5 linked regions of the Macaca fascicularis genome follow. The protein of the gene in region 1 purifies or fractionates together with the protein of each later gene. This does not show direct contact. Links are inferred from orthologs where the notes say so. Each region holds a gene or a part of one and is shown on either strand. Other genes may lie near its edges.

Evidence for each region. The genes of interacting proteins can lie anywhere in the genome.
Region 2: the proteins of RRS1 (region 1) and NOP56 purify together in Homo sapiens (co-immunoprecipitation; 3 studies listed by BioGRID and IntAct, with this or other methods). This does not show direct contact. The link is inferred for Macaca fascicularis from reciprocal best matches to the Homo sapiens genes RRS1 and NOP56.
Region 3: the proteins of RRS1 (region 1) and NIFK purify together in Homo sapiens (affinity purification with mass spectrometry; 3 studies listed by BioGRID and IntAct, counting the BioPlex papers as one, with this or other methods). This does not show direct contact. The link is inferred for Macaca fascicularis from reciprocal best matches to the Homo sapiens genes RRS1 and NIFK.
Region 4: the proteins of RRS1 (region 1) and NPM1 purify together in Homo sapiens (affinity purification with mass spectrometry; 3 studies listed by BioGRID and IntAct, counting the BioPlex papers as one, with this or other methods). This does not show direct contact. The link is inferred for Macaca fascicularis from reciprocal best matches to the Homo sapiens genes RRS1 and NPM1.
Region 5: the proteins of RRS1 (region 1) and FTSJ3 purify together in Homo sapiens (affinity purification with mass spectrometry; 3 studies listed by BioGRID and IntAct, counting the BioPlex papers as one, with this or other methods). This does not show direct contact. The link is inferred for Macaca fascicularis from reciprocal best matches to the Homo sapiens genes RRS1 and FTSJ3.

Annotation. Positions count from the first base shown.
Region 1 is NC_088382.1:76,416,385-76,419,902, forward strand, and holds RRS1 (ribosome biogenesis regulatory protein homolog), read left to right. Parts: upstream 1-1,315; 5' UTR 1,316-1,433; coding exon 1,434-2,531; 3' UTR 2,532-3,018; downstream 3,019-3,518. UniProt on the Homo sapiens protein: Involved in ribosomal large subunit assembly. May regulate the localization of the 5S RNP/5S ribonucleoprotein particle to the nucleolus.
Region 2 is NC_088384.1:84,652,073-84,656,257, forward strand, and holds the start of NOP56 (nucleolar protein 56), read right to left. Parts: upstream 2,801-4,185; 5' UTR 2,772-2,800; coding exon 2,769-2,771; intron 2,579-2,768; coding exon 2,489-2,578; intron 2,142-2,488; coding exon 2,027-2,141; intron 1,223-2,026; exon of another isoform or gene 1,148-1,222; intron 1,020-1,147; coding exon 858-1,019; intron 686-857; coding exon 487-685; intron 368-486; exon of another isoform or gene 236-367; intron 166-235; coding exon 1-165. UniProt on the Homo sapiens protein: Involved in the early to middle stages of 60S ribosomal subunit biogenesis. Required for the biogenesis of box C/D snoRNAs such U3, U8 and U14 snoRNAs. Part of the small subunit (SSU) processome, first precursor of the small eukaryotic ribosomal subunit.
Region 3 is NC_088386.1:10,002,854-10,007,076, forward strand, and holds the start of NIFK (MKI67 FHA domain-interacting nucleolar phosphoprotein), read left to right. Parts: upstream 1-1,423; 5' UTR 1,424-1,441; coding exon 1,442-1,546; intron 1,547-2,546; coding exon 2,547-2,684; intron 2,685-4,223.
Region 4 is NC_088380.1:178,182,412-178,186,492, reverse strand, and holds the start of NPM1 (nucleophosmin), read right to left. Parts: upstream 2,801-4,081; 5' UTR 2,704-2,800; coding exon 2,646-2,703; intron 600-2,645; coding exon 520-599; intron 1-519. UniProt on the Homo sapiens protein: Involved in diverse cellular processes such as ribosome biogenesis, centrosome duplication, protein chaperoning, histone assembly, cell proliferation, and regulation of tumor suppressors p53/TP53 and ARF.
Region 5 is NC_088390.1:70,331,232-70,335,281, reverse strand, and holds the start of FTSJ3 (pre-rRNA 2'-O-ribose RNA methyltransferase FTSJ3), read left to right. Parts: upstream 1-1,250; 5' UTR 1,251-1,279; intron 1,280-1,390; 5' UTR 1,391-1,416; coding exon 1,417-1,483; intron 1,484-1,656; coding exon 1,657-1,762; intron 1,763-2,025; coding exon 2,026-2,072; intron 2,073-2,194; coding exon 2,195-2,274; intron 2,275-2,689; coding exon 2,690-2,789; intron 2,790-2,886; coding exon 2,887-3,081; intron 3,082-3,159; coding exon 3,160-3,275; intron 3,276-3,392; coding exon 3,393-3,497; intron 3,498-3,582; coding exon 3,583-3,683; intron 3,684-3,906; coding exon 3,907-3,987; intron 3,988-4,050. Other genes in the region: PSMC5 (26S proteasome regulatory subunit 8), read right to left, coding at 130-220, 824-876.

The sequences.
Region 1 (3,518 bases):
CAGAGTTAACATATCTCTTGTTCTTATACTTCCTAGTTGCATAACTTTAGATAAGTCATTTCACCTCTCTGAGCCCTCCTTGTTTCATCTGTGAAAATAATATAGTTAATACAATAATTAATAACATAGTTAATACTAATAGCTAACACATATTGAGTTCTTACTATGTAGCAGGAACTAATGTTTCATGTTTGTCAATTTATAAATAAGGCTTTAGGTCAAACATCCTCTCCAAGTAATTGTGACCTGATACCTGACTGTAGGCCGTTTAACTCAAGAACCACTGCAGAACACCATGCAGCACTGCCTCTTCAGCTTAGCTCCCAGAGCCTATGAAAACGAAATAATCGGTATTTAGCTAACTTGTATCGAGTACTCATATGCTTCAGGCCCTCGTTTAACCCTCCCTTGGAAGATATTAACTCATTTATCTTATAACCACCCTAGAAAGTATTTTTATCCTTATCTCACAGGCCTTAAAATGGCCTCAACAAGTAAAATTGCTGAAGCACCAACAGTGGCACAGTCAGGATTGGAACCTAGGCAGTGTAACTGCAGAGCCTGGCGGAGAGTGTAACTGCAGAGTGTAGCGTAGTTTCAGCATTGTACTAGACTAGGTTCTGTAACTGCAGAACCCCGGAGCTCCAAGTCAGCTAGCTCGCTAGGGTCGGTGCACACCTGCGCCCACTCGGGGCAGCTTCATTGCCAGAGCCACTGACTCCCAAAACAAAACCAATCTTCTACAATTAGCATCTGTGGGATGTTATGTTTCTCGTGCCACAACTAGGAACCCTGAAAGCAAATTATGACTCCGGTGAAACAATTTGGCCCTAAGAAGGGTGATTGTCTAAACATCTTCACAACGGATTTACACAGAAATTGTAACATGCACTTGATTGGAAACCCACACCACAGGCAGTCCCAGGAATTTGTACCCGCCCTGGTCCTGGACCGCCCCGCCGGATTGCGCCCCAAGACTGTCCCCGGACCACCATCCTAACACCACACCCTGAACTGCCCGCCCAGGACCGCCCCCTAGACCGCCCCCCAGGACCGCCCTCTCTAGACCGACAGCGAGACTGTCCCAGGACCGCCCCCTGGACCGCCCCCGCGCCCCGCTGCATCCTGGGAATCGTAGTCCCAATCCTGCTCTGGAACGAGTAGTGCTGGCTGCTGGCGCCAGCTCCGCCTCTATCAGGCGTCAGCCTAAGGTGCCGCTTCTAATCCTATCATCTCTCCATACCGCCCTCTGCCGGCCTTTCCTCTGGTTGCCCGGATGGCGAGCCGGTTCCGGGCGCTCCGGAAGCGAACCTTTCTTTTCCGGATTGGGCATCCCGGCGTCTGCACGTGGTTATGTTGCCGGAGTTTGGGCCGCCGCTGTAGGAAAAGTAACTTCAGCTGCAGCCCCAAAGCGAGTGAGCCGAGCCGGAGCCATGGAGGGCCAGAGCGTGGAGGAGCTGCTGGCAAAGGCAGAGCAGGACGAGGCAGAGAAGTTGCAACGCATCACGGTGCACAAGGAGCTGGAGCTGGAGTTTGACCTGGGCAACCTCCTGGCTTCGGACCGGAACCCCCCGATTGGACTGCGGTGCGCCGGACCCACGCCGGAGGCCGAGCTGCGGGCCCTGGCGCGGGACAATACGCAATTGCTCATCAACCAGCTGTGGCAGCTGCCCACGGAGCGCGTGGAAGAGACGATAGTGGCGCGGCTGCCGGAGCCCACCACACGCCTGCCGCGAGAGAAGCCTCTGCCCCGGCCGCGGCCACTTACACGCTGGCAGCAGTTCGCGCGCCTCAAGGGCATCCGTCCCAAGAAGAAGACCAACCTGGTGTGGGACGAGGTGAGCAGCCAGTGGCGGCGGCGCTGGGGCTACCAGCGCGCCCGGGACGACACCAAGGAATGGCTGATTGAGGTGCCCGGCAATGCCGACCCCTTGGAGGACCAGTTCGCCAAGCGTATTCAGGCCAAGAAAGAACGAGTGGCCAAGAACGAGCTGAACCGGCTGCGTAACCTGGCCCGCGCGCACAAGATGCAGCTGCCCAGCGCGGCCGGCTTGCACCCTACCGGACACCAGAGTAAGGAGGAGCTGGGCCGCGCTATGCAGGTGGCCAAGGTCTCCACCGCCTCTGTGGGGCGCTTCCAGGAGCGCCTCCCCAAGGAGAAGGCGCCCCGGGGCTCCGGCAAGAAGAGGAAGTTTCAACCCCTTTTCGGGGACTTTGCAGCCGAGAAAAAGAACCAGTTGGAGCTGCTTCGTGTGATGAACAGCAAAAAGCCTCAGCTGGATGTGACAAGAGCCACCAATAAGCAGATGAGGGAGGAGGACCAGGAGGAGGCCGCCAAGAGGAGGAAAATGAGCCAGAAGGGCAAGAGAAAGGGAGGCCGGCAGGGACCTGGGGGCAAGAGGAAAGGGGGGCCGCCCAGCCAGGGAGGGAAGAGGAAAGGGAGCTTGGGAGGCAAGATGAATTCCGGGCCGCGTGGCTTGGGTGACAAGAGAAAAGGAGGACAGCGCCCAGGAGGAACGAGGAGGAAGTAATAGTTTCTCACCGTCGGACCCGACTGAAAACCAAGGACTATAAATACTAAGTGTTAAGTTCTAGGTACTTGTACGGGGACTCAGAAGGACCTGGCCGCTGCCTTCATTGAGTTTAAAGGGACAGGATTGCCCTTCCCTCAAGAGAGTATGTAAGTGTTGGACTGCAGAAATTAATGTTTTTCCCACAACCGAGACTTTGGCTGGAGATTAAGAACTTATTTGAGGATTTAAGAATTAGGGAAATAATTTGGTGGAAACCAGGAATGAGTTCTATTCTTAAACAGCCTTTTTTATTTTTAACTTTGGATATAGGGTGAGGTAGAGTTGGCCATATTTCACACTTAAATTGACGTATATGTTTCTGCATTATTTTTACAACAAGCTTGTGTATCAGAGCGGGGGGTGCGGGGAAGGGAAAGAAAACAGTTTCAGAATTGGATAGGCAAGTGACTGTTTTAAAGGTTAAGTAATAAAGATGTCTTATCTAGTGTGGCTTTTAACTTTCTGACTATTGGGTAGAAATTGTACATGAAGCCAGTTACCGGGATACCTGGTACAGATTATTTTTGTTTACTTTCTAAAAAACACAAAGCAGGCCGGGCGCAGTGGCTCACTCCTATAGAGTCCCAGCACTTTGGGAGGCAGAGGCAGGCGGATCACCTGAGGTCAGGAGTTTGACACCAGCCTGGCCAACACAGTGAAACCCCATCTCTACTAAAAATTAAAAAATTAGCCGGACATGGTGGCTGGTACCTGTAGTCTCAGCTACTTGGGAGGCTGAGGCAGGAGGATCGTTTGAACCTGGGAGGCAGAGGTTGCAGTGAGCCCAGATCACGCCACTGCACTCCACTCCAGCCTGGGCAACAGAGGGACCTCAAAAAAAAAAAAAAGCAATTAAATTATAATAGTTTCAGTGAGACCACTTTTAAACTTATACTTCTTTTGGTATCAAATATAATATTCAAAGTAGTAAAACCAATGGCTGTT
Region 2 (4,185 bases), on another chromosome or scaffold:
AGAATAGCCTTAGCCTTGGCCCCATCCATTGTCAGCTCCTCCAGCTTCTCCAGCTTTTCCTCATTCAGTTCCCTTCGGTTTCCAATAAACTGGGCAAGACGGCAGTATGTGGCATTGTCGTTGATGATCTTCACCAGCTCCGGAAAGTGATACCCATACCACTCCCTGCAAAGAGCCACAGTCACTCCCTGGCCCAGCTGCTTCATCAAAAACCATAGAGCTACAAATCTTCATTCTATGTTCCCCCATTCACAATACAGACCAGGCACAGGGCCTGAGCTGAGGTGTATATAGGGTAGGTTTACTCTACCTCCTCTTTCTATACAGTCAGTGTAAGAACACAGCCTGTGGTAAGCACCAGGAGGCCTAGACCCAGCCCCAGTCCACATAGTTCTACCCACAGGATGGTCAGTCCTCATCAAGACTCAAAATTAGCTAAACTACAGACCAAAGGCTCCAGTATTATGGGTGGCCCCTGCACTTTACCTGACACGCATAGAGAAGGTATTGATGTCCTTATCCAGCTGGTCCAGGAGGCTAATGGACTGGATGATCATATTGTCCACTCGGTTCACATTAAACTTAACTTTGGCACGGGAATAGCTGTGTCCCAGCCCCAGCTGTGCTTTACAAGCTGACAGATCAGTCAGACCCTTCACCAGATTGTGGAAGTGCAGACGAACTCCTAAGAAGAGGGCAGGACGGTGAGCAACAAGGGGCTCTGAGCTAGCTCCCGCACCCATGGGCACCAGCCAAGTCCAAGGCCTTCCCAGAAGTCACAACAAGCACCCACGTTTCCAGAACCTCCTCCCCGAAAATGTCAAGGATAACATGAATATAACAGATGATGGTCTCACCTCGCAGGATCTCAGCTATGACGCCTCCAGTCTGGCAGTTGTACCCTAACTCCTCCTGTATTGCAGCACCAATCTTGGGATCCCCAACTCCCAAGAGTACTTTCTTCTTTTTGGATGGCAGGTGGGTCTCCAAGAGCAGGCGGAGGTCCTCATGAACAACCCCTCAGAGGAAAGAACACAGTTCCCACTCACAGGCTGAAGGATGATCAATTCTAACATCTCCTCAGCTGATTACCCTGCTTCCACGGAGCATGCTGGGATGGCATACCTAGACCCCTCCCCATCAGGCATTGCTCAGAGACATGGAGACATCAGTGACTGCACTCAGGGGATTGACAGATTTGATTCGCAAGTCATCACTGCAAAGCCTGGCCCAGCCATGGGAACAACTGCACTCAGGTCTGATAGCACAATCGTGCAATAAATAATAGCTTGTAACACACCCTTGAGTATTTAGTAGAATTTGCCTTCTGGAACCAAACCTTTTTTTCTTAGCCTGTGTTTATCCAACCGCCCTTTCCAAGCAAATAGCAGAAAACTAGACACCTGATTGTGTTTAGGCAAAAAACTCAGGCACAGGTAGGTGTTAAGCCAACCCCCTTTAAGAAACCCCCTTTGTCAAGCCGGGCACGGTGGCTCGCGCCTGTAATCTCAGCACTTTGGGAGGCCGAGGCGGGGGATCACGAGATCAGGAGATCGAGACCATCCTGGCCAACATGGTGAAACCCCGTCTCTATTAAAAACACAAAATTAGCCGGGTGTGGTGGCTGGCACACGCCTGTAATCCCCGTTACTCGGGAGGTTGAGGCAGAAGAATCGCGTGAACCAGGGAGGCGGAGGTTGCAGTCAGCCCAGATCGTGCCACTGCACTCCAGCCTGGAGGGCAGAGACTCTGTCTCAAAAAATAAATAATCTGTCACTACAGTGCCCACAAGGAAACGTAACACACATCCCACATCATCTGCTTTCAACAGTTTGGTCCATCACAGTTCCCAGATCTTGAGCTCTGTGAAGACAATTATTTCAAATTACACAGTTATGTCTCAAATACTGCCTCACACCTATCAGACTCACAGCCGGCCAAGGACGGCAAATACTATCACAAGCTGCCCGAGAGGATACCAGAAGGAACCACATCTCCCTGTGATACTTGGTGGTGGCCGACTCACCTTCAGACACGGCGTTCGCATTTTCCAAGGCAACCTGGGACGAGGCAAAGGGACAAAAGGCCACCAGACGAACGATGTTGTGGAATTTGCCCAAGTTGAGCACGGACTCCTCCACCTAGCGGGGGAGAAAGAGGCTGAGTGGTTTCCTTCCCTCCCTCCTGCCTCTGCGGCGCATAAAGCAGCGGTTCTCAGCCTTGGAAGCTCTTAAAATATGCTGACAGCGGGACCCCACAACCCAGCTTCTGCTTTAATCGTTCCGGCGCGGGGTCCGGGAGGCTTATTTCTAACTGCTAGAGCGATTCTTCCCATGAGTCAAGGTAAAGACCCCCGGATCTAGAGCTTTCCAGGCCCGCCCCCCGCCCCGAACCTCTCGGCCGGCCACGTGGGAGCGCGCGCTGCATGCTGGGACCTGCGCGGTGAGGGTCTGCGAGGCCGCCTGAGGAGCCCATGGATCTCACCCACCTGCGGCTGCAGCAGACTGATCTCCTCCACTTCCTTCAGTGCCAGCAGCGCGTAGCCGACCGCATGCTCAAATAGCACGTGCAACAGTACCTGGAACGGGAGCCGGGGCGCTAGCGTCAGCTCAACCTCCGCGTCTGCCGGAACCCGCTCCGAGAGCAGGCGCAGGCCCAGGCCCAGGCCCAGGCCCAGGCCCAGGCCCAGGCCCAGGCTCTGTCTGAAGCGCGAACCCAGACCGAAGCCCCCACCTTCGCGTCGCCCGCGCCCCACAACCACTCCTCACCATGGCGCCTGCTCCCGGGTTCGGCTCGCAATGCGGCTAGCGCGCTCCGGCGCGCGGAACCAGGCTCCAGAGGCCCCGCCCCCGCCCCGCAGACCAATCGGAGGCCGGGGACGACACCATCTCCCGGCCTTTAGAGGGGCCGCCCGGGGTGGTATCGCCCGGAGCGCGGGCTGGGTGGCGCCGAGCGCGGGCGAGCAGGCCTTCTCTGGCCTCTGCAGCTGCGTGGGCGGGCGCGGTTGCCGGGGACGCGCGGCCCGGAGTCGGGCCTTGCTGGCAGCGAAAAGACATGGGTAGGCCCTTTCGGTATAATAGTCCAGTTCCAGATGTTCTTGTCATATAAGTTGCGGGCAGCAGAGATGGGTGAAGTCGGGGTGGGAGGCTCCGCGTAGGGCACGGCGTCCATCCCAGAGACCGCTGCCTAGCCGGCTGCCCGCTGCGCCCGTGGCCTCGGGCCCCAGACCCTGCGCCCCAAGTCCCCGGGACCCATCCGTTCCCGTCCCCTACTCGGGGACGAGCCTCCCCAGCGCTGGGTGGGCCGTGCATCCTTTCCTCCCACCCGGAACGGGAGCGTTTCCTTGCGCGCTTTGGCGCAGACCCTGCTGGGAACGTGGCTTGCGCAGCTTTCTTCGTACTACTAATTTTATTTATTATTTTTTAAAATGACGGTGTCAGGCAGTGACGTGCGAAAGAAAGACGCTCCAGCGTCCTCCTAGGCCAGTTTCTTGTTGCTGTGCTGCACGGGACCCAGCTTCTTTTGCTGGCCACGTGTTGCTCCTCCGCTTGAGCGGCCCTGAATTCTGGGCACCGGCGAGCGCCAAGTGAATCGGAGCTCCTTCCCTGTCCTCGAGGGCGTCTTTTGGGCTCTCAGGCGACTATTTAGAAATGAGTTTTGCTTTAATAATTAATATTAACGTTATAAATCCAAAACCTAGTTATGCTTAAGTAGCATATCCCCTGATATATTTTAAAGAGTCATTCGAAGGGGATTTTTAAAAATGCTGTATAGCTATAAACTACATTTATACATTTAATTGTTATTTTGTTAATCGATTGAGTTACTTGACAAAATCCAAGTACATAGTTCACTCACAAATCTAATATGTCAAACCTAAAAAATATGGCCGGTAAATCTTACTCACATAATTTTAATATAGTTTACAGATGTGGTTGAATTCTGTTACACATGTCGACTTAACGAATCTGAATCGTTATTCCATTTAACATTTTAAAATGGAATTGCAAAATTAATCCATACATTAGCATGTTGAATTATTTTTACCGTCATCAATACATAAAATTAGACGATTCCAAAATGTAATGGAAAATATTAATGCTAAGACTTCAATTTACTTCGTTATTTCTGTCCTTAATCCTGAATTTTCCTGGGATTACAGGTGCTTATTCACTAAACCAGGGG
Region 3 (4,223 bases), on another chromosome or scaffold:
AAGGAACAAACTCTGGACACACCATCTTTAAGAACTGTAACACTCACCACGAGGGTCTGTGGCTTCATTCCTGAAGTCAGGGAGACCAAGAATCCACCAGTTCTGGACAAAAAAGGTGTAAACAGCCACAGCCTCGCTTAAAACCCAACCACCCCCTCGCATTTACAACAAAACCCCAGTTTCATACTTTGACACACAGAGCCATGGGACTCCAGCCTGCCCCCTCGCAGCTCTTCCCTCCTACGCTGGGCTCCAACCCCACTGCTGGGTCCTTCTTTCTATACCTAGGAACACATGTGTAGGCCTGTCTGATCCAGCAGATGGCAGGGCCTCAGTTCTCCAGACCCTGCTCCTTAGCCTTCAGGCTTCGCTGCCAACACCACCTCCTAAGGGGGACCCTCCTGCGTCACCCAGTGTGCCTCTCCCCCACGAGGTTCTTTCATCTCTCAAAGCAGCCATGCTGCCCCAGGCTGTAAATTCTCTAGGGGTCTCCACACAGGAGGGGCTCACACACTAGTGAGTGAAATAACCAAATTAGGGCTGGGCACGGTGGCTCACACCTGTTATCCCAGCACTTTGGGAGGTTGAGGCGGGTAGATCACCTGAGGTCAGGACTTCGAGACCAGCCTGACCAACATGGTGAAACCCCATTTCTACTAAAAATAAGCCAGTGGGGCGTGGTGCGGGCGCCAGTAATCCCAGCTACTCGGGAGACTGAGGCAGGAGAATCACTTGAACTCTGAAGGCAGAAGTTGCAGTCAGCTCAGATTGAGCCATTTCACTGCAGCTGGGGCAACCAGAGCGGAAACTGTTTCGAAAATAATAATAAGCAAATTGAGGAATGTGAGCAGCATCTCGGGCACCAGTACTGTTTTATAATTGTAGACCGCCTTTCTAAGTAGGCGTGAAGGTAATTGTTTCAGGCACTCTTAAGCCAAGCCAATCGGCGCCCCTACAGCGGAGGGCGCGGAAACTATCCCCAGCCCAGCCCCAGACCCCACTCCCCCCCGCCCCGGGGCCCCCCTGCCCCGCACCGCTCTGTCCACCCCCCCCCGTCTCCACCCCCACCCCTGTCCCCACCCCACCCCCGTCCCGCCCCACTCCCCACCCCCGCCTCGGCACAACTCACGCCCGGTGCCGCGCCTCCGCGCGACTCATGCCTCTCCCCGCCCCTCGCCAGGCCTCGTGCCCCGCCCTCGCACCACGGCACAATTTATGCCCCGTCCCGCGTCCCGCGCCCCGCGCCTCGTGCCCCACCCCCGCTTCTCCGTGCTACTCCTGCTCCAACCCCGCGCGCGACTCATGGCCCTCCCCACCCCTCGCCACGCCTCGCCTCCGCGCTTCGCCACGCCCCTGTCCTGCCTCTACTTCCGCCTCAGGGGAGCTGGGAGCCCGTCGTTTCCGGGAGCGCCGCGTGGAGTTAGTGTTGGCCGCTTTTGGCATGGCGGCTTTTTCTGGCCCAGCTGGGCCGATCCTGTCGCTTAACCCGCAGGAAGATGCCGAGTTTCAAAAGGAGGTGGCGCAGGTTCGCAAGCGCATAACCCAGGTGAGCAGGCACCCTGGTCCAGGCTGCGAGCGGGGGCGACGGACAGGGTCTAGGGGGTATCCGGGGTTGCGCGGTTCCCCGCCCGGACTCCCCTTGCCTTCGCGCACGCCTTCCAGAGTATCCTTAGCGGATTTGACCGAATCAGGGACCCACCTCTTAAGCTTGCAGGCCACGGTTTCTGAGACTAAAGGGTTTACGCTGGTGGGTAAATGATGGAGAGGTTTGGCCGCTGAGGCCTTGGAGCCTTCATGTGGAGGGTAAGGGGGAAGTATTGGGGTGACGGAAGCCGCGGAGGGAACCACCTGGAGGGAATAGGTTCCCATACCACAGGTTGTCTCCGGGTTAGACCTGTCACGCTTCCGCGTTCCCCCCGAAAACGGGGGCCCCAGACTTAACACATTCGGGAGGTTTGTATGCCGGGTTGGTGATCTGGGAGTTATTAAAATAGAGTAGTTGCCAGGTTCCGCTTGCTGACCAGGGCCCCTGACATCGCTTATACTTTCTGTGGTTTTTAGCATAAACTACACAGGAAAACTTAGAAGTTCTTGTTACAGAGGTAAGGGTATGATGGTTGAGACGCTGAAAGGCTAATCTGTATTGTGAGAGTTAGCAAGCGTCTCGAAAATTTTTCGATGAAATGCGAGTAAACAGTAATATGCATACAAAATTGAAGGCTATATTTATGTAGAGTTCTCTGGGCAGAAGATCCAAAATGGCTTGTTCGAAGATGTCCTTGCTTATCCGTTGATTGACATAGTTATTGAGCACTAACATTATACTGGGTGCTGGGATGCCAGGCTGGAAAGATAGTTGATTACTGCTTGGCCATGGCCTTTGTGGGGAGAGAGACACTCAACAGCCACTTCTTTAATTACTACTGTGGTAAGTGGAAATGCGGAGTAGGTTCTTGGGCCTAGGGCTAGGGGTTTTGTAAGTTTTGTTACAATGTGATTTTCTTATTTTAAAAAATATTTAATTTACCTGGTCTTTATGTCTTCAGCGGAAAAAACAAGAACGACTTACTTCTGGAGTAGTCTATGTGGGCCACCTACCTAACCTACTTAACGAAACCCAGATCTTTTCGTATTTCTCCCAGTTTGGCACTGTGACACGATTCAGACTGTCCAGAAGTAAAAGGGTAAGATTTTTAAAGTTGGATTTGACGTTTTGTTTTTCAAATGTGTGTGATTCTTGACATTAAAGAGCACGTTCACATACTCTTATCAGATTTCATTCCAAAAAGAAGAGTGGAGGTTTAGAATCTGAAACATAGAATCCCGGCACATAAACTTGGGTTGTAGCCATAGGCACCTATTTGATTTAGCATCTAGGGGATAGGGTGTGCATCCATCATCTGTTAGTTGTCCTAAAGATACAGATTATAGGTAGAATTGAGGTCCCTTTTGTACCCTTCCCAGTGTTCTTCACCTTCTCCTTTAATTAGGGAATTAAATTCACAAATTCCGTTTTCTTTTTTTTGAGACAGAAGCTTGCACTGGAGTGCAGTGGTGCGATCTCAGCTCACTGCGACCTCCGCCTCCCAGGTTCAAGCGATTCTCCTTGCCTCACCCTCCCAAGTAGCTGGGATTATAGGCACCTGCCACCACACCTGGCTACATTTTTTTTGTGTTTTTAGTAGAGACGGGGTTTCATTAGTTGGCCAGGCTGTTCTCGAACTCCTGACCTTGTGATCCTCCCACCTCAGCCACCCAGAGTGCTGGGATTACAGGCGTGAGCCATCGCTCCTGGCCACAAATTCAGTTTTCATTGCTATATATGTTTATAAGTTTTTACTGTATCTATATATATATGTGCTACAACACGTGTGTACATATATAAATGTACATATAGTATTATTTTAAAATTATTTCTATCATTCTTCAGCTGAATTTTTTTACTCAATAATCTGAGCTTTATCCGTGTAACTCTAGTGCCTTTGTTATCATCATTGCTTGTTACTTAGGTAACTAAAGTTTATCCACGCTCCTATTGAACATTAGGTTTTGTTTTGGGGTTTTTTTTTTTTTTGAGACAATCTCACTCTTGTCACCAGGCAGCTGTAGTGCAGTGGTACGATCTCAGCTCACTGCAACCTCTGCCTCCACATTCAAGTGATTCTCCTGCCTCATCCTCCTAAGTGGCTGAGATTACAGGTACTGGCCACTGCACCTGGCTAATTTTTATATTTTCAGTAGAAACCGTGTTTCACCATGTTTTGGCCAGGCTGGTCTCAAACTCCTGACCTCAGGTGATCCGCCCACCTCGGCCTCCGAAGGTGCTGGAATTACAAGTGTGAGCGAGCCACTGTGCCTAGCCTGAACATTAGGTTTTTTACTATTTTTAACTCTTTACATGAAGCTGCTAGGAACAATCTTTGTGCAGGTATAGACAGATTTTTCTAGAAGAGCATTTTGCAGACTGGCTCACAATAAGAAGTAAGTTTTTACCATCACAGAGAAGATGAGGGTTTTCAAAAAAAGTTTCATAGCACAAACCAGCACACATACACATACATGTAAGCATAACTGAAATAAAAGCCATATGAGACAATATTTAAACTTGTTTTGTGTGATTTGCTGATTTTCTATTTCATTCTATTCAGGGTTTTTTTGGTTGTTGTTTTGTTTTGTTTGAGACGGAGTCTCGCTCTGTCGCCCGGGCTGGAGTGCAGTAGCAC
Region 4 (4,081 bases), on another chromosome or scaffold:
CAACAGTTGCAATGAGGCACATGACTATGATTTTTTAAAAATACAAGTATAAACCTATCACTGTTACCTCAGAAAACAAATCTGTGCAATGTTATCCTCAGGTTTTGTGATCTTGGCAAATCAATTTCTCATATTCAGAAAATTTAACAAATGCATAAATATGCATACACACAATATAGATCACCTAACTTATTTATTGAGCAACTTCTAAGTTGAGAGAAAAGCTAGTCTCTGGTAGACATGTAAGATTATCGATGCCTTTTACAAGGGCTTTATAATCCAACTGAAGAAAATAAGGCAAGTTTAACAATGTGACTGGATTTTACATGGTTACCAAATGAGTATAGATGCCAAGTTCTTCATCAAAGATGTACAGACAGTGAGGTACACACAATACCCAGGTGTAAGAAATAGTATTTTATAAGCAGTCAGCAAAGGAAAAGTCTCAAGCCACATGAATAGAAACTAAAAGGCTGAAATCAAGTAGGGTTAAGTAGTTTATTTTGAAAGTTTAAGTACCGTTCTTAAAGATAACTGGTGCTCATTTTCATCATTATCCACCTTAAAGTGATAATCTTTGTCGGCCTTTAGTTCACAACCTGTAAATGAAGAAAAAAGCAACTCTAACAAGGAGAAAAATAACACTGAAACTTAAGTGTGGGTAACCAAAAAGGTCAGGTCTAACTTTTGAACTAGTTTTCACAATTTTAGCTACCAGAGGGCAAAGCAGAATGATCAATTCCTAGATTTCTTGAACAGAAACCTCTACAAACAAGTAACACCCATAGAAGTCTACAATTCTATCTTCTCCTCATACCATATTTCATCTCTAACTACGCTGATAGGCACTGTTATTCTGCATACAGAAACGAGCTCAACGGTTTAGTAAATCTGAACCTAAAACAATTACCTGAAACCAAATGTAATGTCCAATGTTAAGTTTCCCACTATTTAAAACAGCTGATTTACCCACCTAAATTCCCAAATGGAAAGTTCGAAATGAGAACGGTTACAAACATGAATAGCTTACTATTACAAAAGAAAAACGACAAAGGTAAAAGAACCAAAGCTTGCTACAGGGGTCAACACTCTACTCTTTAAAGCAACAGAAAGTGACATACGCCTGAAACTATATTCAGAAACTATGTTTAAGACAAGGAGGGTTGTTTCCAACAGTTATCAAAAAGTACTGATATAAATTTATCAGAATTCTCAGTTATCCAAAACAGCTAGGAATTAAAGCCTTAATGTTTTAAATACATGTGTCTACTGCCACTCCATCCATGCATGGGCAAAATTCTTTAAAATACTGTCAGAATAAAAATTTTAAATAATTCCATTAACTACCATCTAACTGTTACCAATACATATACATGCTTAAATGTGAAGAGGTTTAATTAACAAATCTCAGCACGGATAATGAACAAGATAAAATTCACGGTAGGATTCGCACTTACTTCAAAGTCTGAATAGTATAAAGATTAGGCTTCTGTAATTAAACCTACTGACATTAAAAACCCAAGTGGGACTCTCCTTTTTGGGGCAGGGCTACCGCAAGTCGAAGGTGGTGGTGGTCCCAAAATTCTGCGAATAGTTTTAGGTCTTGATCTGACTCAAATCGAACACTCTACGTGTTTCTTGTATTTAAATAAGCGGTTTGGTCAATGCTGCACAAATGGCGGCATGCGAGGACGTCCCCCTAAAACGAAGCCTCATTAATATTCACGAAGCAGCAGCTACGAGTCAAGGGTCTTGGTTTAGTTTTAGCCTCTTTGCCTATAAGTACAACCTTCGTTAAGTGAGTTAATCTCTGGGCACCAGTGCCGTCATCTGCAAAGTGGGGCTAGCTCCAGCTACTGCAGTGAGACAGAAAAGGGGCTCAAAAAAAAAGAGCTGCCATCACAGTAGATGCTGTAAGCACTGAACAAAGGCCTCCAGAATCCTAGTGTTACCAGCCTCTTAACATTTCCCACTTCAACTGAGCCACAGCATCCCTTGATCTGGAGTAACAACATGCTGGTGAGCCCCGGATGTAGTGCCCACACCCCCCTCCCTCCCCCAACCACGTGGCAACCACGTGCTCCCAGCGGTTGCGGCCTCCTCACGCCGCGCCGCGCCTCCCCTCCCCCAGTAACTGGCCGAAGCACGCGAGTGAAGTCTGGGTCCGGCAGCTCCAGACTCAGGTCAGAACAACGCCAGGCTGTGCATCTACCCTCTCCAACAAGCAGGCCCATGCTTCCCGGTAAACCCAGCCTCCGGGACCACCAACCCGGGGCCTGGGATCAGAAGCCTACGAACGAACTCCGTTAGAAAATAAACCACGCCTGGGGCTCCGCGGCGTATCCCCGGCAACGGCCGAACTTCCAGGCGGCCAGTTCCGCTACACCTCAGGCCCTGGGCCTCGGACTGCTCACGCTCCAGGCGCTTCAGGCCGCTCGTCTCCTCCCCCTTCACGCCTCCGGCTCCCCCCGCGGCTCCAATCCCACCAGGTCCAGGGCTCGGGCAGCTCTTCCCACCCGCTCAGGCCTCCAGCCGGTCTGGCGGTCTCCACCAGACCCTGCTGCAGCCGGATTCCCTCCCCTCACCCCCGCCTTCACCGCCACCAGGCCCCGCTCGGCCTCGCTCCAGCTCCCCCCTGCAGTTACCGAAAAGATAGTTCTGGGGCCTCAGGGGGCTCATGTCCATGTCCATCGAATCTTCCATCAGGTGGCGGCACGCACTTAGGTGGGAGAGAAGGCGGACGGAGATAAACCAACGCTGCTCCAGAGAACAGCCGCGCAGGACGGAATCACACCAGGGAAAGGACGCAAGCTCCCCGCGCTTATATATAGCCCCTGAAGATCTCGCGAGCGCTTCTCAAGTCCCGCCTCCGCGCGCGTGCTCCGGAGCCTTCCCACCCCCGTACCGTAGCTCTCCTGCGCAAGCGCTCTTCAACCACACTCCTTTCTACCTCGCCCCCCACCTCCTTCCAGGTACTCCGCGGGCTCCCACCGAGCACGCGCACTCGTACACTGGCCCCACCCCTCCACCGCTGTCGCCTGTGCGCACGCGTGCTTTCCAGTCGTAACGCGCGCTCCCCACCTCCAACACTTCCACGTCCTCTCCCGCTCAAGCGCTCCGGCCTCCCGCCAAGAGTCTGCGTAGCCCACCCTGCAAAATGGCGTCGGCAGCTCTTAGCTGTGTTAGATATGGCGGGTTGTTAGCTGGCTGGGAATGAGCCGGAGAGCACCTCGATTCACTTCCCCCATACCCTAGTGCCTTGCAAACCTCCAAACAGGCGTAATCATTTCAGGATTTTTTTTTACTTGCCTGAAGGCTTGGGATCGCAGTTAATCGTTACCCCAAAGTTCAGGTGCCGGAGAGTGAATTGCGGCTTATTCTTTGTTAGGAAGGAAAGATGTAGCTACCGGCCAGGCTTACGGAACTGTGTTTTTACAGTTCTGCCCTTCCTGAGAAAACATCTCCAAAGTCCTCATCTTTATGTAATTTGGGGGCCTAAAGGGGACTGAATCAGTCTCCAAATGAGCAAGGACATCGCCCTAAGAGAGCTCGGAGGGTGGGCAGACTCTTGACTTCTTGCCGCTCTTAATCTTTAGGATTCCTCCTGAAAGAAAGCGAGTGACTTATAAGAACTACAGAAGCCTTAATCGAATATTTGGTAGCGAGTATGGGAATTAACATTTTAAGCTACACGTTGACAAACTCCGAGGTACCCCAGCAGCCCCGGGCATTGGGGCGTTCTGAAGACCCATAATTTTTTTTTTAGCCTCAACATATCAAATTTAAGAAGTGAAGAATATAAATGATAGCCTCAGAAAGGAAGACCCCCCCACCCCAAGGCATTATTTCTTACAAGAAAATTATACAGACGATTTCAGCATCCATCAAAAGAGGAATGAACAGTTAAATTATAACATATCCATAATATGCGTTAGTTTTGACACATACTAACGCATAATATGGATATGTTATAATTTAACTCTTCCTTTCTGAGAGCGCCTGTGTCACATAAAGCTTTGAGTCACTAAATTTGTTATGTTTTTTTTTCTTTTTTTTTTTTTGTGGAGAGAGTCTTGCAGTG
Region 5 (4,050 bases), on another chromosome or scaffold:
GAAACAAACAAGAAAGGAGAAGCAGCAGCTTCTTCCACTGCACTCCCAGTGGAATTAGATGGATTTGTGGAAGTCCGTTTCCATCCCCCATCATCCCGCTTCCTAGCTCTCTCTGAAGTCCGTCCTCACCTGGAGTTCTTCAATCTTGGACAGATAATATTGGCGGAGTCCGCTGCCTGCCTTCCCCTCCTCCAGTTCCATCTGAAGACACAGAGTGAGTCTTAAACGACAGGTTAAACATCCGAGGGGATAAAGCCACTTGCAGGGCACTTTGAATAAGGTTTGACACCAGGTAGCTTTGCGTAGTAAAAAAAGTTTGGACTTCGGAGGCTCAGCATCTGGGTTCTAATCCCTCCCTCCCTGGGAACCCTCCATTTTCCCACGACTAAAATAAAAAAATGGGAACGCCGCCTACCTTGTACGACTTTTAGGAGGACCGAGAGGCGATATGATATACACGGGGGCGCTTTGCACTGCGTGAAGCGCTCTACAAGCCCGAGGTGTCGTTACTGCCGACGGAGCAAGCGGAACGGAGCCGAAGGACTGGCGTCCCGTCTCCTGCGACCCGTGGGCCGGCCGTTCCCGCGCCCATCGCTCCCCTCACTCACTCCGCTTCTACCGCGTATTCCTCTCCCAGCCTTGCCCTGACTCACCGAGGGCGGCGCTGACACAGCAGATCCAGTCGCAGGCAGCGTCCAGCCTGGACTACTCCAGCCACCTCCGACCCACCCAACCCTCCTGCCCCGGCCCGCTCTCCACTTAGATTACGCTCGCTCCGCACCCAGCCCCGTAACCTGCCGGGCCGCCACTGCAGCCGCCATACCTGCTCTGGCCCGTCAAGCGCCATCTTCTCTCTTCAGCAGAGACCGCCGGCATCCGAGTCCCCTTTGCGCGCAGGCGCGGAAGCGGAGGCTTGTGACCTGAAGACCAGGCAGAGAAGAGTTCCGGGTCAATGGGCGGGGTGCGCGGCCAGACCACACTAACTAAGGGGACCATGATGGGAGGGGCGGCTACGAGAGTTCAGGGGCTTTGGAGGGGGAAGAGGAAGGAGCAGAACTCCTCAATGTTGCCTCATTGAAACTATGTTTGTAGTTCTTGTAATGTGCCTTCCTAGTCTCAACTTTCAACTTACAAAATCCGAGGACAGAGTACCGAGAACAATCTATGGCCACACTCAAAATGGCGGAAAACCTCGAGCCAGGGACGCAAGCGGAAGCGGAAGTACGTTTGCTGCATACATGTGCGGTTCCGAGTGTGGAGAAAGCGGCCGTGGGTCTAGGTAGAGTGTGCGGAGAGGGGAGCGGAGTGGAATTGCTGCGGGAAGTGGGAAACTGAAAGAGGAATCTGGTGATCCGGAAAGAGACGTCCTCAACTTCTACTTTCTCCCCAGATTGAGCGATACTCCCCCATTCCACCATGGGCAAGAAGGGCAAAGTTGGCAAGAGCCGACGGGACAAGTTTTATCACTTGGCGAAGGAGACGGGTGAGTCCAGATTCGCTCAGTCTGCGTGCGAGCGAGCGAGCGATCTCTGCCCGGTTCGCCTGCTCTTTCTGACCATTGTGTACCTCTCCTGCAGAAGGGGTAGTGGGTTGCGAGGCTGGAGAAATCCTGCTGGTGATGGTGAAGCCCTCTGCGCACTTGGTTGTTTTGTCCAGGTTACCGTTCCCGATCTGCTTTCAAGCTGATCCAGCTCAATCGCCGCTTTCAGTTCCTGCAGAAAGCCCGAGCCTTGCTGGACCTGTGTGCTGCGCCAGGGGGATGGTTCGTAACACTTGCCACAGGTTGCTCCTGGTGGCCGCTTTCTGTGTTCTGAGCTGCGATGGTTTCCAGTTTCATTGCGGGAGAGGAATCCCGAATCCCGGTCCCCTTGGAGGCCGTTTCCTTTCTTGACTGCAGAGAAAGGACTTGGAATACGTGCCTATGATATGTTCTGGCCAGTGCACGTAACACCAGGGATGAGAGGTCAGTTGCCAAGAGGGGGACAAGGATGGCTGTAGGTTTTTAAATTCCTATTCCTTTTATAGGCTGCAGGTAGCTGCCAAGTTTATGCCTGTATCCAGCCTTATTGTGGGTGAGTAACGGACAGCTCTCCTTGATGTTTTAAGGGGTCGGTGTATAAAGTACTTTGTCCTGTATTTCTCTCCTCCCTGCTTGAGGCAACCCTTTAGAATACTCTGACCTGATTTATTCCAGGAGTGGACCTGGTTCCAATCAAGCCTCTCCCCAATGTGGTGACTCTCCAGGAGGACATCACAACAGAACGTTGTAGGCAGGTAATAGGAGTCTTTCTCTTCCTTCCCCCTTTATACGGAAACATCCACATCCCTGAAATCCTCTAAAGGCAATTTTTTTCTATTTACCATGCTTTGAGCACATTCTTGCCTGACATTTGTACAAGACCCATGGTATTCGTAGTGCCCACTCCAACCTTTATTTAGAGTCAGGGATAAAGGTGTTTGGAATTGGGAGAAGGGCAGAGATCTTTAGTGAAGTTTTTTCCTGTGAACTCACTGTCAGACTGTAAGCTCCATGAAGGTAGAGACATACTGTTTTTGTTTACTATTGTTATCTCCTGTGCCTGGTAGAGCATTTGGCCCATAATGGGCACTCAACAAATAACGGGATGGACAAATGGTTGAACCAGGGCCATTCCTGTGTTTGTGTTTCCATAGTTCCTTTTCTTTTTAGGCCCTGAGGAAGGAGCTGAAGACCTGGAAGGTTGATGTTGTGCTCAATGATGGGGCCCCCAATGTGGGGGCTAGCTGGGTCCATGATGCTTACTCACAAGGTACAGGGAGTGTGGTGTTTGGAGATCAGGCAATGGTGGAGTTGGGTGCATGCCCTCCTGGGCTGCAGTGCCTCAACTAATTGTCTCTATCCTACAGCCCATTTGACACTGATGGCTCTGCGTTTGGCCTGTGACTTTTTGGCCCGGGGTGGCTGCTTCATCACAAAGGTTTTCCGTTCTCGTGACTATCAGCCTTTGCTATGGATCTTTCAGCAGCTGTTCCGCCGTGTCCAGGCCACCAAGCCCCAAGCCTCTCGCCACGAATCTGCAGAGATCTTTGTAGTCTGCCAAGGTGGGCATCATTTCCTTTCTCTTGATCCAGCCTCCCAACTCCCAAAGCACACTTTTTAATATATCTTGTCATTTTTAGGATTCCTGGCCCCTGACAAGGTTGACAGTAAATTCTTCGACCCCAAATTTGCCTTCAAGGAGGTTGAAGTTCAGGCTAAGACTGTTACTGAATTGGTGACTAAGAAGAAGCCAAAGGTGTGTTTTGGGGAATGGGGCCACCCTTGGGTCCTGGAACTCTGGAGAGGTTGGGCCTGGTGGGTCCTACAGATACCCAGAAGGGACTGCCCAATCTTCTCTCTTTTTCTCCCTAAGGCTGAAGGCTATGCTGAGGGCGACCTCACTCTTTATCACCGTACCTCAGTCACTGACTTCCTCCGAGCTGCCAACCCTGTCGACTTCCTGTCTAAGGCCAGCGAAGTGAGTCTCCAGCCTTGAGGGACATGAGGTAGCCCCGGAAACATGGCCTGAGAATCTCCCGACACCTTTCCCTCCTCCCAAACAGATCATGGTAGATGATGAAGAGTTGGCACAGCATCCAGCTACCACTGAAGACATACGGGTGTGCTGTCAGGACATCAGAGTGTTGGGGCGCAAGGAGCTCAGGTATGCAGCGGGGTGGGCATGGGGGCCAGGAGCCCTGGAGGCGGGAAAGGCCATGATGTTAGATCTCTGGGAAGAGGATATTGCTGTGCTAAAGGTTTGGGGTAGGGGCCTGAGCCTTTTGGTTTATGTAGCTGAAACCTGAAAAGGTGGATAGTGAGCCTAAAACAAGGGGGCAGGGACAAAGCGGGAGATGGCAAGATCAGTAATAGTATCTCTGGGGCAGGTTGCTACTAAACTGGAGAACAAAACTTCGGCGATATGTGGCCAAGAAGCTGAAAGAACAAGCAAAGGCACTGGACATCAGGTGAGGAGGGAACGCAGCCAGGCAGGTGTGGACGGGGTGTCCAGGGAAAGAGCCCAGGAAAAT